Linked DNA regions of Macaca mulatta. Each later gene encodes a partner of the first gene's protein in a complex. Links are inferred from orthologs where the notes say so. Each region holds a gene or a part of one and is shown in the gene's direction. Other genes may lie near its edges.

Region 1 (9,940 bases):
AACGAATAGGTAGGAAGATGACCTGAAGGAGGATGTTGGCCAGGAAGCCTTTGGTGGGCTGGCTGTTCTAGCAGCCCATCCCTGGCCCACAGATGCTGATCTCATAGCAGCCACACACCCTTCCTTTGGTCAGCCTCAGTTTCCCCATTCCTCATGCATTCTTGGTGACCTCTGAGGCTCCTCCCACTGCGGGCCTCTGACCCTGTCGAAGGAACATGAGGTGAGCCTAGTGAACTGAGGGATGTCGGCAAACAGCCCTGGAAGGTTGGTGTGAGGTAGGTTGAGAGCTGTGTTCCAGAAGGTTCTGAGGCTCTGGGACAGCCTGAGGGCCTGAGAGGTTGGGGGAGGGTTGCCTCCCTGTTCAAGCTGGCTGGATAGGTCTGTCAGCCTTTGCATCCAGGACAGCCAGGGCTGGACATGTGCACCCACCAGAATGATAGAGGAGGGGCTTTCCTCAGTGGAGGGACCCCAGGGGTCCTGCTCCCTCAGCTGATAGGGGCCCTCCTCACCTCCTTGCTCACACAGAGTGGCCACTGGGCTCAGTCAGGCCCCACTTGTATTTCCTGTTCTACCAGGCCACCTACCCTTACTCCCCCACCCTCAGCCCTTACTCCCTCACCTGAGCCCATACCCAGCCCAGCCCAGCCCCACCTTACCTCACCTGTGCACCTGGCCTTACTCCCTCCTCTCAGTTCCCCACCCATCCCCCTTCAGTTCCTTGGAGTTTGCAGGGAGCATGAAGACAATCCCTTGTCCAGCCTCTCTCCTGCCTCAGTGTCCCCAAGCCAATGGGACCCCATAATCCCAGAGCAGCAGGCTGTGGCACAGCTCAGGGCCCAGGAGACAGCCCTGGGGTCCTCCAAGAAGCCTGCCCAGTGAGTTATTAGATTTTTTTTTTTTTTTAGATGGAGTTTCGCTCTTGTCACCCAGGCTGGAGTGCAGTGGTGCGATCTCGGCTCACTGCAGCCTCCACTTCCTGGGTCCAAGTGATTCTCCTGCCTCAGCCTCCTGAGCAGCTGGGATTATAGGCATGTGCCACCACACCTGGCTAATTTTGTATTTTCAGTAGAGATGGAATTTCACCATGTTGACCAGGCTGGTCTCAAACTCCTGACCTCAAGCAGTCAGCCTGCCTTGGCCTCCCAAAGTGCTGGGATTACAGGTGTGAGCCACTGTGCCAGGCGTAGAATTTTTAAAATATGGAGGCTTGACCTGCTTGACCACTCTGCCTTTTCACTTGTCTTCAGAATAGTCAAGCAACCTGCAGAGGACCAAATAGGATTTTTCAGTATTATTATGAATGCATGGGCTTTTCAGCTATTTGATGTGTTTTAATCCATGACTCTTTTTGATGCTCAAATTGTCCCATTGTTGATCAGCCCATTCTCCAACTTGATAATGAACAGTAGTAGAATATACCTTTTTCCTAAGATAAAATAGCTGAGGAGTCTATGCTAATATAGTCCATTCAAATTTAAGGATTGGTTTGTACCTCTTTGATTTTTTAAATCTACATCTTTTTTATACTGAAAATCTTGGTTTCAAAGGAATTTAGCATCATTGTTTCTTTGATATATATATACATACACACACATATATAAATATAAATATATAAACATATATATACATACATACACACACACAAACAGTTCTTTGGGATCTTTTGGTTCTTTGAGTATTAGTAATCATATTGATCATGGCACTCCATCGTGTGGCTGTACCATGGCACAGCTGAACCAATTGAAGGACAGTGTGATTGTCTCTAGACTTTTGCTAACATAAAAAATGCTGTGTTGACTATCATTATATATATGTACTTTTCTATTTTTCCTACATATCTTTGGGTTATTTCCTAGAAGTGGGGTTTCTGTATCAAATGATACATTTAGTAATATCACAAGGTCCCTTTCTACCAGTGACGAGGAGTGCACCTGCTGCCTCTCCCACAGAGTTGCCATCAAAGGTCTGGATTTTTGCCAATCTGATAAGCAACCAGTGGTATCAGAGTGTACTTTTAATTTGCATTTTTCTTGTTATAAATGAGGTTGAACATTTTTTCCTAAGTGCAAAGGTCATGAACCCCATTTCCTATGAACTGCTCATGTCTTCTGCTCCCTTTTCCATAGGACTGTCTGGCAGGTTCCTCACCTCAGTTTTGGATGTTCTTTATGTATTAGTGATATTAATCCTTTGTGATAGAAACTGCAAATACTTTTCCCATTTGGCCATTTGTCTCCTTTACTTTGCTAATGGTGTTTTTATTTTGATTTTTCTTATTTTATCTATTGCTTTTGGATTTCAAGTCATAGTTGGAAATGTTTTCCCAGTTCACAGGTTCTTGAGGAATTGACCTGTACATTCTTGTACAATTTGCATGGCTTCATCTCACCTTTTACACTTAAGCTTCTGATTCATTTGAGATTTATTCTTGTGTGTGATGAGATGGACCCAAGCTATCCTTTTTCTTTCTTTCTTTATGACTGTCCAGTTGTCCAAACACTGCTTATTCAAAGCTCAACTTCCTCCCGCTGAGGTGGGAGGGGAAGACAGAGACTCCATGCAGGCAGTACTTGCTGAATGCGTGCTGTGTGCCCTGCAGAGCTGACTGACTGCCCCCATCTTCTGGCCCGCTGCCCTTTTGTACAATATGCTTCCCAGGAAGGTATCCTCTCCTCTGCATCCCCTGCGTTATCATAGTGCCCAGCACAAGCTGGGAAGCTGGGACCCCACTCCATCCACTCTTGCTGCAAATACAGACTGTGCACCCAGGTGTCAAGGGCCTGGGCTGGACTCTCTCCATGATAAAAGAGCAGACTTTTGGCAGTGGGGTGGTGGATACGTCAAATTGGCCCAGGGTGCTCAGCGATGACCTGGAAGTGTCGCATGAGTTATGGGTCACCTGGCCGGGCTGAGAGTCACCGCTGAGCTTCACCTTCAGTTCTTGCCTCGAGTCTGTGTGCAACATCCTGAAAAAAGCTGGTCTTTTCTGTTGGCTGCCCCCCACCACCACCCCAAGCCTGAGATGTGCTGAGACCCAAATGCCAGCAGCGGGCGGGAGGCAGTGCAGAGTCCTGTGAAAATCTTCCGATGTGACCAACCCACCCCCACCCAGGGGAATCCACAGGGCGCAGCGGCAGCGCGGTCCGGAGGGTAGAGAGGACAAGGCGCCCATTCTCCAAGACCCTAGGGTGGCGCAAGCGCCTCTCCCTTGACCTGCCCAGGCAGCCCCGCCCGTTATGCCCAGCAGTCGAGCCAGGTGCAGACCCACGCTGTGCCGCCCCGCTCCCCAGCAGCACCCGCACAGCTCCCACTGGGGGGTACATCACAGTTCGTGGTTCCATCTCACCCTCCTGGTCCAAGGGCCCTGGTGGGAAGCGACCCGAGAGTATTCCCCGCCCACAGCTCGCGCGCCTGGGCACCCGGGGGCGCTCACAGTGATCGCGGGGCCAGCACACCCTCACCCAGTACATCCCTTTCCTCCCACCACCCCCAACTCCGGAGCGGCTCAGAGGGAGGGACAATAGATGCCGGCACCCTACCCCGCCCCTCCTGCCCTGGCTGTGCAGTTCTTGGTGGTGGTATCGGCCTGGCCTTACCCCTTCCTCCCTGGCTCAGCTGGGGTCCTCCTCCGGGCCAGACAGAGCAGGCGGGCATCAGAAGTGGGGGCCAAGCAGGTGGGTGAGGGCAGGGCAGGTGCAAGCAGAGGAGATGCAGAAGGGGCGGGGCTAAGCAGGTGGGCGGGGAGAGTCGGAACCAAGCGGGGGGGTAAATGCACATAGGGGCGGGGTAAAACAGGTGGGCGAGGAAGGGGCGGGGCCAAGCGGGGTAGTTGCAGACAGGAGCGGGGCTAACTAAGCAGGTGGGCGGGGGCGGGGGCGGGGGCGTGGGCGGGGCGTGGGCGGGGGCGGGGACAGGCCAAGTCAGGGTTGAGGCGGAGGCAGGGCCAAGCCGGTCCTTGAGGGAGAGGGCGGGCCAAGCCGGTGGGCGCGGGTAGGGACGAAATGAGCGCGCCGGGCTGGCGGGGGCGGGGCGTGCAGGCGGGGGCGGGGCCCGCCGCTCCATGAGACCGGTCCTCGGCCACTGCCCCCTCCGGCCCCGCCCCGAGCGCCCGGGCTGCGCCGGCAGCGGCCCCCCGCGGCGGGGCTGGCAGCAGTGGCTGCCCGCACTGTGCCTGGGCGCTCGCCTTCGCTGCAGCTCCGGGTGCCGCCTCCCGGGCCGGCCCGCCGCGGGCTCTCCTTGTTATGGCCGCGGCCTCCTCCCCGCCCAGGGCCGAGAGGAAGCGCTGGGGTTGGGGCCGCCTGCCAGGCGCTCGGCGGGGCAGCGCGGGCCTGGCCAAGAAGTGCCCCTTCTCGCTGGAGCTGGCGGAGGGCGGCCCGGCGGGCGGCGCGCTCTACGCGCCCATCGCGCCCGGCGCCCCAGGTCCCGCGCCCCCTGCGTCCCCGGCCGCGCCCGCAGCGCCCCCAGTTGCCTCCGACCTTGGCCCGCGGCCGCGGGTGAACCTAGATCCGCGCGTCTCCATCTACAGCACGCGCCGCCCGCTGTTGGCGCGCACCCACGTCCAGGGCCGCGTCTACAACTTCCTCGAGCGTCCCACCGGCTGGAAATGCTTCGTCTACCACTTCGCCGTGTGAGTATCGCCACCGGCGACGGCCGGCACGAAGGTGCTTCCTGAGAGCTTGTGTGGGGGAGCTCTGTCCCAGCGCCACCTGCCCCGTAGGGGCTGCGACCCTGGAGCAGAGGAGGGAAGAAGTGGGGAAACGCAGAAACACAAACTGCACTCCCCCTTGAAGTTCAGGGGCGCTGCTGTGTCTGGGGGTGCGCAGCTGCTCGCAGGCCCGGCATGGGGAGGGAGCCGGCTGGGGAGGGGACCACCTGGAGCCCAGAATTTGGCTCCACACCTCCGGGGAGGGTCGGTCCAGGTGTGATTCTTTCTGGGAAGAGAAGCCTGCTGGGGAGCGCACCTTTGGGTTCAGTAAGAGAACTCCTCAAGGTCGGCTGAGACTCGAGGCTCAGGAGCCCCCAAGAGAGAAGGCGCCTGATGTCCAGCTGGTGCCACATCTCAGACCTCTCTGAGGCCCAGTTGTACTCTGGGGCAGGGGGCTGTCCAGGAGAGGAAGGTGACGGTGGCAGTGCTCCCTGAGGGCTCAGCGTGCCATGGGGCGTCCCCACCGGCCTCATATTAACCGAACCAAGCTCATGAAAACCTGGCTTGATGCAGAGTGGAGAGGCACGTCTGCAGCTCTCACTCAGAGGCAGCTGTGCTCCCGCAGACGGTAGCGCTGGTAGCAGAGGCTCCTGGCCCTCCCTGTTACCAGGTGGTTCCAATTCCCGGTACAGCGTGCCTGAGCAGGGCTGGGCACTGGATTTCTCGGGGATGGGCCCGGGAAGTCACCTCCGGAAAGGTCCAGGCTGCTCTCCTCGGTGCCTGCCTGGGGCCCTCCCCCGCCGCCCCAGTGGCCCTACTTCCTGGCTGCCCAGCCAGCGGCCTTTTGGTGTGGTGCCAGCCTCTGGCCTGGGAGCCTCTACCCAGCCATCCCATGGCTGATGGCCGTGGGGCTCACCTGAGGGCTGAAGGGTGGTCTCCCTGAGCATCCTCAGGTGGAAGCATCTCCTCTGCCTTGGGCAGGCTCAGTAGAGAACTGGCTGGAGGGCATCCAGGGGCCTGTCCATGCCTGCTGGCAGCTGCCACCAGCAGGAGCCAGGCCCCAGCCAGCTTCAAGCATGGTCTCAGGTGAGAGGGTGGGGTAGAGGTCGCAGGGCTACTGCCTTCCTTGCTGAGAGGTGGCCTTCCACATCAGGAAGGGGAAGTCTCAACCACCTCTATCCTCAAAGATGTGGTTGGGGTGTTATCTTGGAGACTTTTCCCCACCCCCGGCTCCCAAGCCCCTGTCTCCTGACATGTCAGCGGGTGCCTGGGCCACAGCCGCTGCTGGTCTGTGAGAGGAACTGGCTCTGCTCATGGCTGCAGCAGCGGGGGCTTGGCTTGTGGTTTGGGAGATGTTTGTGTGCAGTGACCCAGGGGAACCCACCCAAGTCTGATGCCACTGTGCAAATGTCCAGCAGATGCCAGATTCACAGGTGCTGTGTGCTGTTGGCCACCTGCCTCCTGGACCCCAGACTCTCTGAGATGTCCAGGGGTGGGAAGACCCCCTCAGCCAGAGGCCAAGACAAAGCGCCTGCAGACCCCCTCAGTTCTCACTTGTATTCAGGTTTGTGGACATGTGCCTCTGGGCTCACTGCAGCCACCCGTGCGGAGGAAGAGGGCCCGCCGCGCCCCAGAGGAAGTCTCTGCTTGCACTTGTGTTTTCTTCCTGATTTGGATTGTTTAGGTCTCGGAAGTTTGCTCAGCAGAGTCTACCTTTACCCAGCCTCCGTAGAGCTGGCAAGGCAGCGGTGGCTTCTGGGGACAGGGCAGGAGGGCTTCTGTGAGGGGGTGGCCAGGAAAGGGATGCTTCTGTGAAGTGGCCAGACCCGGGGCTGGTCCTTTCCAGCTCTGGGCCCTGTCCCTGTAAGATGTGTGCCTGGCCCTGGGAAGTTGTCATGAACAGCCCCTTCCCAGGTACCTCCATGCGGGGTGGGACTGGAGGTGGACCCTGGCTGGGCAGGACATGTGACTTGGTGGGGGCCTGGGAGATGCACTCCCACCCTCAGTGCTCTAGGAGGTTGGCAGGACCAGTCTCTCAAGGGGAGACCTGGTCATAGAGCCAGGATGGCAGAGTAGCTGGAGGCTACCTACAGCCTCACAAAATCAGGTCCAGCCCTGTGCCAGTCCAGCCCTTGTGTTGCTGTAAGAAGTCTTGGCAATGGTGGCAGAGACAGGGCCCTGTCCTTAGGTGGATTGTGAAATGAGAAGTATTGTGGTTTTTGACCTGAAGACGACAAGCCTGGCCTTGAAGAGCCAGGGGGGTTGAGGCAGGAGCCGGTGTTCCGCTGACCCTACAGGGCTAGGCAAACTCTCCTGTGTGTGGCTGGGGAAGCCAGTCAGGATATCCTGTCCCCTCCTTGGGGAACCCCCGCCCCCAGGAGAGCAGCTCTTCCTGTGTTCCCTTTGGCCTCCCTGGGCTGGCCGGGGTGGACACGGCGCTGGGCCTCGACCCTTGCCCGCTTAGGCTTCCTACCCCCAACACCCCCAGTTACCTGTGGCTGCTTGCGCCCCCACTGGGGGCAGCTCCCATCTTAGCTGAGGGGATGGGGATCCATACAGCCCTGCTGCACCCAGAGGTCCTAGCTCCCTTGCTGTGAGCCTTCGTCGGGGGTGTGGACATCCAGCTGGCATCTATTCTGGTTGCTGAGACGCTTGGAGATCCTGGTTGTGGTCAAGGAGAGGGATTTGAGGGGGGACCTGGAGTGCATGGGGACAGCCCTCGTAGGCTCTCAAACCCAAGCCTGGCTCAGCAGCCGCTGTTCCCCCTTCCCACAGCCTTGCCTTTCCCTGTTTCCCAAGAACTTTCCAGGGGTGTTGGCAGAACCCTCACGGATGCATGTTAATCAACAATGGAGCCAGAGGCAGGTCCTGGAGGTGGATTGGGCCGATCTGGTTGCCTCCCCAAAAGACAAAGCCATGCAGAGGCCAGCTCTCAGGGTGTAGCACCCAACTTTGTGGACCTCAGTGCCCTCCTGTCTCCAGGCTCTGGCATTGGAGTCCGAGGCAGCTGCTGGACAGTTGTTCTGTAGCTGGGCAGGGAGGCCAGAGGCTGAAGCAGGTGCTGCAGCTGGGCACAGAGGAGGACGGAGCTCTTTGGGCCATCAGGTCTCTTTCCATCTTCTTTAAGACCCCTCCACCCACTCCTCAGCCCTAGATTCCCAGTAAAACTGGGAATGCCTTTTGGGGCTTTTCCCAGTGCCACCTTCTGTGGGGCCTGAGTCTTTGGTCTCATCCTCTGGCTGTCTGGGATCACCTCACCTCCATTACAGACTCAGCCCAGTGTTTCTGGATCCACTCTTGCCAACATGCTGAGTGCCTACTGTGGCTTCAGTCTAGTTGGGGGGAACGCATCCCTTACCCCTGGCCATCAGCTGGGGAGGGGGTAGTCCAGGTGGCACAAGAGCCTGGAGTCTGGGAGAAAGGGCCTCCCCAGCCTGTGTGGGGACAGGGGGTCAGGAGCATGGTAGGGACTTGGGTCCTTGGAGGTGGCTCGGGCAGTGCCTGGTGGGTGTGGAGCAGGTGGCAGGGTTTTGTGTCTGCGCATGGCCCCATGGTTGGGCCGCCTTGGCCAGGGTCCAGGGCCTTCTGAGTCTGCGTCTTGTCCTCTGTGGCAGAGGCTACTGGTGCTGGTGCCCTCAGTGCAGGGTGCCTCAGTTGGAGGGAACATTCGTCTGTGCCTGGCACTGAAGCCACAGCTCCCTGTGGGCATGGTACTTGCAGCTTGAGCCTACAACCCTGGGGTGCTGGAGGCAGGGGGGTCCCTTTTGACTTGGCAGTTGCGAGGTCCTGGAACCTTTGCACATAATGTGCTGGCTGCCATGTGTCGCGGGGCCAGGTCTGAGGGAGGGGCTTTGCAGGGACACTCCTGGGTGCCGATGGGATGAAATTCCGCTGGGTGTGAGGGCCTGGGGTGCAGTTGGGCCGTCCAGTGCGAGGTCAGGTGGTTGGAGCCAGGGAGCTGGCATGTCAGCTGCTGCTATGAGTTCTGCCACGTGCCGTCCTGGCATGTGGCACGTCCTGCAGAGGACAGGAAGGGTGAACAGCTCCGAACCCACCCTATGTGTGCTCCAGAGCTGGAAACAGGCTGTGTGGAGCTGAGCGCCTTTGGGGGCAGCTGAGATGGGCAGGAGCACCGTGCCCACCGCGGGTATCAGAGTGACAGGGATTGGCAGGCAATTCCACTCGGGTGGCTGATGCCGCTGTTTTTAAAGGCGTTGGGTGCCGAGAATTCTGCTCCTGCTGCCGGGCTGGTTTCAAGTCTGCTCCTTCTACGCTCGACGCCCTTGCCAGGGTGATCCAGAGTTGCTCAGATGAGCAAGCGTCCTCGAGTCCCAGGGGTGCTGTTAACAGGGCTGTTGACTGACGCAGCAGGTCCAGGGAGCTCATGCCTTCCAGCGATGGGAATGCCACCGGTCCCTGTAGCCAAGGTGCAGACACACGCGTCCTGGTCCTGAGCCCCTGCTCGGCCCTGGGCAGGGCCCCCAGTCCCTTGCATTCCACCTGCCTTGTCTGGGAGGTGGACGAGCCCTCCCTAGCCCTGACATTCCAAACTGGCTTTTGACCCCTGCGATATGTCACTGTGATTCAAGACTCTGTCCACGGGCAAGAACAACAAGGCTGGGACAATCTCATCTCAGGCACCTGTGGGAGGAGACAGGTCCCAAGGCCGGTGATGTCAGGAGAACATTCTAGGCCTAGGAGGAGCTGGGAGAGCAGACGCTCAAGGCGAGATGCTGGTGTGTGGCCAGTGTCAGGAGAGCATGGTGTTGGCCTGGGGAGATGCCGCAGAGAAGCTTCCAGAAGCCCAACATCTGCTGCTGGGGGGGAGAATGAGGCAATGAATGTCACCATCCTGGGCCACTTTGACCCAGACCCCAAGGATTTGGTTACAGAGGGGAGGGCGGCAGGGTCTGGCTTCACGCTCAGGAGGTGCCTTGGGGCTGGCCAGTATGGGATTGCTGTCACCACGGGTCACTGCAGCCCCTGGGTGCTGCTACACCATGCTCTGCTTGTGCCTGGGGTCCCCGCAGGCACATCGGTGAGAACGTCCTGGCCTCCACACCCCTTCCTGGTGGGTGGCTGTCTCTTTCCAGCACCTCCTCGGAGCACCATGAGAAACCCCAGACCTCATGGATGCAAAATTATGGTGGTTGATGAAGGGAGGCGGCTGGTGTCTGTGGTACCGGCTGGGTGACCACAGGGATGCCGCGTGACCCTAGTCCAGGGGGCCGGTTTTACATGAGGCATCTGACCATGTGATGGGGTGTGGCTTCCGCTGCCCGGCCCAGCCCCCTT
Region 2 (6,571 bases), about 73 Mb from region 1:
TATCCTCTCTGCCCCAACTCGTGACTCAGCATCTTGCACTAAACTATTTCAAGACTCATGTAGCTGGGCTCACTGCCTCAATTCCAGCTCCCTCCAGTCCACATGACAGTCAGAGTATCCTTTCCAGGCACAGATCTGACCATTTTATCTTCCCTAGCTACAGAATAAAGTTCCAACTCTACAGAGTGGCACTCAAGGCTGCCCATGATCTGGCTCCTATCTCTCCTGTCCCACATCCTATGCTATTCTTCTACACATCTTACACTTCAACCTCTTTATGCTACTTTCCATTCTTCTAAACATGTACACACTTTGTTGCGCCTTTGCTCATGTTGCCTTCCTTTGTCTTCTCTGCCTCTTAAAAATCCTTCAAGGTCCAACTCAAATGCCTCCATCACTGTGGACACTCTCTAAGCCCTGATCAGTATCCATTACTTATTCCTTTTAGCCTTAGTAGCTCCTGGCTTGTCCCCTGCATTGTATCAGAGCAGAGCCCCTGGATCTGGGCGAAGGCACTGGATCTGAGCCACCCCGAGCTCCCATCACAGGGCCTGGCCCATATTGGTGATAACTATCTGGATGATTTTTTGAGTTATTTATTTCCTCATGCTGCTCCTACTTGCTATTGGCAGACACGAGGGAAGAAGCAGCCACAGATCTTTTGCCTGACACATGGGGTAGTAGATGAGAATGTATATCTCCTGGATCTTAACTCAGTGAGCTCTTGTTCTTCTCCCCTCCTCCATCCAGACAGGACAGCACAAGTACTAGATGGCAGAGGGCCCCAAAGGCCTTGCATAAAATGCTGCCCAGTCCTGGCTAATTGCGTTCATAGAGCCATTGACGAATATTTATCATGGTCAGAATGATCATATTTTCCAGGGAAGAGATCTTATGGTTAATAGTCACATTAGTTAACTTTAGTTTGTTAACAGTTCTGCCCATATGATGGAGGACTGAATGCTTGGCCCATAGAGAATTCCTTAAAGTGGACATCTTTACTAGAAACTATTGAGAGAAGGATAACACCCATTCAGTCTTAGGGCAGTCCCCTAGAAAAAGGGAATGCCCAGCCAGTCGCAGGGTAGTGCCCTGGGAAAGGAGAACACCCAGTCTCAGGGTAGTCCTCCAGATTGGAGGAAGAGACATAGCCCTGCTGACCAGGCACATGTGGCCTGATGATATCCTTATCAAAAACAAGAGGATAGCCACATATTGCCTTATATGTTAAGTGTTGGGGGGAAGGGAAGGCTGTGATGATAAAGGTGGTGTAGTGTGGCTGAGGGGTGGGGAGCACTGAACGGAGGCTTCCCTAAAGGAAGTGAGTGTGGGGCCTTGTTTACAGGGAATGACATATGGTTTTTCAGAGACAAGGATGCAAGTCTGTTTTAAGATGTTCTTTCTGACTGGGCACAGTGGCTCACGGCTGTAATCCCAGCACTTTGAGAGGCTGAGGCGGGTGGATCATGAGGTCAGGAGATCAAGACCATCCTGGCTAACACGGTGAAACCACATCTCTACTAAAAATACAAAAAAATTAGCCAGGCATGGTGGCGGGCACCTGTAGTCCCAGCTACTTGGGAGGCTGAGGCAGGAGAATGGCGTGAACCTAGGAGGCGGAGCTTGCAGTGAGCTGAGATCGCGCTACTGCACTCCAGCCTGGGCGACGAGCGAGACTCCATCTCAAAAAAAAAAAAAAAAAAAGGTTATTTCTATATTATAGACTAAGGATCTCTGAGAAGAAGGAAAAGGAACATTTATAATCACTTAGTATATGCCAGGTACATAATGACTTTATTTCAGGAGACAAGATAGTTGGCGTGCTTGTGTCTTCTTTTTGTGGGCAGGTAAACCCCAAGCCAGACTGAGAACTCCTTTCACTCTCCCGCCCTCAGGCCCAAGCTGTTCTTCTCTTCTCCAGCGCCTACAGTGGTTGCCAACCTGTTCCCATTTCCCTGACCACCTCCTTTCCAACAGAATTTCTGCAAATAGCTAGGAATATCTAGTCTTTGGGACACAGGATGCTTGAGAGGTCAAATGATCCAGCTTCTGGCCTCTAGGTAGGATGAAATTTAAACCATCCCCAGGCATCTTCCAAAAAGGTGTACCCATGGAGTCTTTTTTTTTTTTTCTTTTGAGACAAAGTCACACTCTGTGGCCCAAGCTGGAATACAGCAGCTCTATCTCGGCTCACTGCAACCTCCACCTTCTGGGTCCAAGCGATTCTCCTGCCTCAGCCTCCCAAGTAGCTGGGATTACAAGTGCTCACCACCACGCCCAGCTAATTTTTGTATTTTTAGTAGAGATGGGGTTTTACCATGTTGGTAAGGCTGGTCTCCAACTCCTGACCTCAAGTGATCCACCTGCCTCAGCCTCCCAAAGTGCTAGGATTACAGGCATGAGCCACTGTGCCCAGCCTGTCTGTGGAATCTATAAAGAGAACTGTGCTGAAGGAGAGTTGTGATGAATGTCTTCTTATGGTGCCACACAGTCCTGCTGAGAGCTAGCTTGGAAGTGGAAGCAGCTCTAAGCTAGCCATAAGGAGCAGGGCTTTCTGTCTTGGCTCTACCTCCAATATTCTGTGACCATGGACAAGCCACTTATTCTCTCAAGGCCTCAGTTTCCCTGTGTGTAAAATGGCAAGAGTTACATTCAATAATCCTTAAGGTCCTTCTAACCTAAAGTTCAGTGATTTATAGAATCTAAAGAAATGAGAGATTAGTATGGGTTCTGATGGTCGGGGAAGGCTTTATTCTACAATTATTTATTGAGTACTTATCGAGTGCTGTCATAAGTGATTGCATATAGCAGTCAGTAAAACAAATATAGGCCCTGCCTTTATTATTTAGTATATGGTCTAGTGGAAAAGACAAACATGTAATCAAGTAACCAGAATAAGCTATTGTATTAGTCCATTTTCATACTGCCATGAAGGAATACCTGAGCCTGGGCAGTTTATAAAGAAAAAGAGGTTTAATGCACTCACAGTTCCACATGGCTGGGGAGGCCTCACAATCACGGCAGAAGGCAAAGGAGGAGCAAAGGCACATCTTACATGGTGGCAGGCAAGAGAGCAGGTGCAGGGGAACTGCCCTTTATAAAACCATCAGATCTCTTGAGACTTATTTACTGTCATGAGAACAGCATGGTAAAAACCCACCCCCATGATTCAGTTACTTCCTACTGGGTCCCTCCCATGACACATGGGGATTATGGGAGCTATGATTCCAGATGAGATTTGGGTAAGGACACAGCCAAACCATATCAGCCATGATGCTAGGATTTTACTGGGATCTGAAGGGAGGAGGTCATTTGAGCTCCAGGTGACAGAGCCATCCCCTCTCTCTTTTCTCTTGCCAACAGAGCTTCTACCGAGTCTTCCCCCACCTCAATCCCTGTTGCTATGGAGACTACCAATGGAACTGAGACTTGGTATGAGAGCCTACATGCCGTGCTGAAGGCTTTAAATGCCACTCTTCACAGCAATTTGCTCTGCCGGCCAGGGCCAGGGCTGGGGCCAGACAACCAGACTGAAGAGCGACCGGCCAGCCTACCTGGCCGTGATGACAACTCCTACATGTACATTCTCTTTGTCATGTTTCTATTTGCTGTCACTGTGGGCAGCCTCATCCTGGGATATACCCGCTCCCGCAAAGTGGACAAGCGTAGTGACCCCTATCATGTGTATATCAAGAACCGTGTGTCTATGATCTAACACGAGAGGGCTGGAATGGTGGAAGACCAAGACACCTGGGGATTGCGTCTGGGGCCTCCAGAACTCTGCTGTGGACTGCATCAGGTCTCAGTGTCCCTATCTGTAAGAGCAACAAGAAACAGGGCTAAGGGAGGTCATCACTGGGGTGGGAGAAGAGGGGCTGGTAGACCGAAGCCTTGTGCATAAGGATTTTTTCCCAGGAAAAGATAGACTTTATAAACAGTGGGAGTCCTTGAACAAACATATAAAAGTAGCAACAGATAATGACCAACAACTGGTTCAGTGGCTGGAGTACTGGGGGCCTGAAGGTTGGAGAAAGGAGAAGTTGTAGCAGAGGGAGATGAGACAGGAAGATGCTCTGGGGACACATTTTTTATGTGTTATCTTCAAAAGCCATGAGAAGCAGTGATGATTATCCCATATCACAAATATGCTTTACCACCACCACCCTGCCACCACTCCCACTCGCACTCCCATAAAGAAAGCAGGGCAAGTGCTGTGCCGCCCATTTGGGCCTGAGTAGTGCCATGATTGGAACCCAGGAACTCTGGTCTCCTTGCCTAGTGCTTTTCAAAACTCTGTGCCACACAGGAGTGGATCCAGGCCTGAAGGTCATACAATTCTGGGGACTCTCTTTAAGAAAAAGAATTCTAAAATATCTTACTTTTGCAAACATTATGCAAATATACTGCCACATTAATATGTTGCTAGGGCTCCTACTAGGACCTTAAGAAGGAGCTCATGTGAGTCAGGACCCTGAATGTTAGGCCTTGTTAGCTCTATGGTTCATATGCTTCTTGAACCAAGTCACAGGGTACTTCCCAGTCACATTGCTAGTCAACAGGACTAAACTACCTCCAAAGCAGCCTCTTCAGTTTTGAGTTCTGTGAGAAATGTTTTCCTTTTCTTTTTCTTTTTCTTTTTTTTTGAGACAGTCTCCCTATGTCACCCAGGCTGCAGTGCAGCAACCCAGTCTTGGCTTACTGCAACCCCCACCTCCCAGGTTCAAGCAATTATCCTGCCTCAGCCACCTGAGTAGCTGGGATTACAGATTCCTGTCACCACACCCAGCTAATTTATATATATATATATATATATATATATATATATATATATTTTTTTTTTTTTAAAGTAGAGGCAGGGTTTCACCATGTTGTTGCCCAGGCTCGTCTCGAACTCCTGGCCTCAAGTGATCTGCCCATCTCGGTCTCCCAAAGTGCTGGGATTACAGGTGTGAGCCACCACGACTATCTGTGAGTTTTCTGAGGTCATATTGAATCTGCTTCTAAAAGACTGATATTGCCAAGGTGGGCAGATCACCTGAGGTCAGGAGTTCGAGACCAGCCTGGCCAACATGGTGAAACCCCGTCTACTAAAAATATACAAAAATTAGCCAGGCCTGGTGGCGGGTGCCTGTATTCCCAGCTACTTGGGAGGCTGAGGCAGGAGAATTGTTTGAACCCGGGAGGCGGAGGTTGCAGTGAGCCAAGATTGCACCACTGCACTCCAGCCTGGGCGACAGAGCAAGGCTCTGTCTCAAAAAAAAAAAAAAAAAAAAAAAAAAAGACAAGACAAGACTGATATCGCACCTAAAATATTATTATATTAAAAGAAGCAGAGTATGAGACGTAGGTGCATGGTCCAGTAGGAAGAGAAGCAGCCCTGATTCTACCACTTAAGGTGGTATATGATCTTAGGCTGGACACTTCTATCTCTCATCCGTTTTCCTCTTCAACATAATGAAATAGACTTGAAAGTCTCTAAGGCTCTATCAGTTCTGACATTCTAGGCTTCATATACATTAAGTGGAGCCATATGTAATCACTGTGTAGGTTAGAAACAGCTGAGTATTGTAGTTTCATATATGGTTCCAGCTAATACATGCGATGTGGCTGGTGAATACTTCTGAATTCAGAAACTATCCCAAATCTCAGCTAGAACCATCCACTGTTCTGTTTGTCCAGTTTCAACTTAAGGGATCTCCATGTGGTCCCCAGAAGTACCCACTGAAACATGCATATTTGTGTATAGCAGAACTCTGAAATAATATTTTGATAGTAGTTATCTCTGAGGAATTGAATTATGGGTGATTTTCCCTTTCCACATTATAAATTTATGTAATATTTGACTGACTTGACCATAAGTATGTTACTTATATAATAAAAGGAAAAAAGGTACTTCCATTTTGAAAAAATAAAAATAAAAGCCTTTGGGTTCTTGAATGGAGATCATGGGCCACATTTGCTGCCATGTGCGGTTATGTTGATGCTCTGCAAACCTGTGCTGAGCCCTGTTGCTCAAACCCTTCCTCATCTCTTCTTGAGGGAGAAGATGGAGACTTCCTTAAGGAGATGTGACATATGGGAAGACAACAGATTGAGAAATTTACAGCTGATAGGACTTTAGACACCACCCAGCCCAAACTTCCAAATAAAATATGGGACGCAAATGGGTGTAAGAATGAATGGTCAGGTGATGAATGCCATAAGGATTTTGAGAAATGAAATTGACTAGGAGGAGTCAGAGAGAGGTAGAACTTGAACTGGGCTTTGAAAGCTAGGACAGAGCTAAATGGGCAGAGTGAATGAAGGGAACAAGATCAGGGAAGCCTGGAGGCAGATGTCAGGGAGCTCCTTCCTGATGAGGGCAGGTAGGCTGGGGAGACAGCAGGAAGCAGGCCTCCTGGGGCTACTCTATGACTTCAGTGTCCCCAGTGGAGAAGGCTCCCCTTCACACAGTCCTCACACTCCATGGGCTTAATCATAAAATACAAATTATTTCGGTTGCAAGTTACAGGCACCTGATGTATATTAGCATAAGTACAGAAGGGAATTTCTGAAGTGTATGGGGTAGTTC

The links.
Region 2: the proteins of KCNQ1 (region 1) and KCNE3 are in contact, whole or in part, in a cryo-EM structure (PDB 6V01), measured with the Homo sapiens proteins. The link is inferred for Macaca mulatta from reciprocal best matches to the Homo sapiens genes KCNQ1 and KCNE3. Residues at the interface, in NP_000209.2 of Homo sapiens: Arg116, Pro117, Thr118, Gly119, Trp120, Cys122, Phe123, His126, Phe127, Phe130, Leu134, Leu137, Ile138, Val141, Leu142, Ile145, Gln147, Tyr148, Arg181, Met238, Val241, Asp242, Gln244, Thr247, Lys362, Asn365, Ile368; in NP_005463.1 of Homo sapiens: Asp54, Asp55, Asn56, Ser57, Tyr58, Ile61, Met65, Phe68, Ala69, Val72, Gly73, Leu75, Ile76, Leu77, Tyr79, Thr80, Arg81, Ser82, Arg83, Val85, Lys87, Asp90.

The regions. Positions count from the first base shown.
Region 1 is NC_133419.1:2,350,386-2,360,325, forward strand, and holds the start of KCNQ1 (potassium voltage-gated channel subfamily KQT member 1), read left to right. Parts: upstream 1-3,951; 5' UTR 3,952-4,241; coding exon 4,242-4,627; intron 4,628-9,940. UniProt on the Homo sapiens protein: Pore-forming subunit of the voltage-gated potassium (Kv) channel involved in the regulation of cardiomyocyte excitability and important in normal development and functions of myocardium, inner ear, stomach and colon.
Region 2 is NC_133419.1:74,855,229-74,861,799, reverse strand, and holds the end of KCNE3 (potassium voltage-gated channel subfamily E member 3), read left to right. Parts: intron 1-3,363; coding exon 3,364-3,715; 3' UTR 3,716-4,750; intron 4,751-4,814; exon of another isoform or gene 4,815-4,879; intron 4,880-5,045; exon of another isoform or gene 5,046-5,151; 3' UTR 5,152-5,941; downstream 5,942-6,571. UniProt on the Homo sapiens protein: Ancillary protein that functions as a regulatory subunit of the voltage-gated potassium (Kv) channel complex composed of pore-forming and potassium-conducting alpha subunits and of regulatory beta subunits.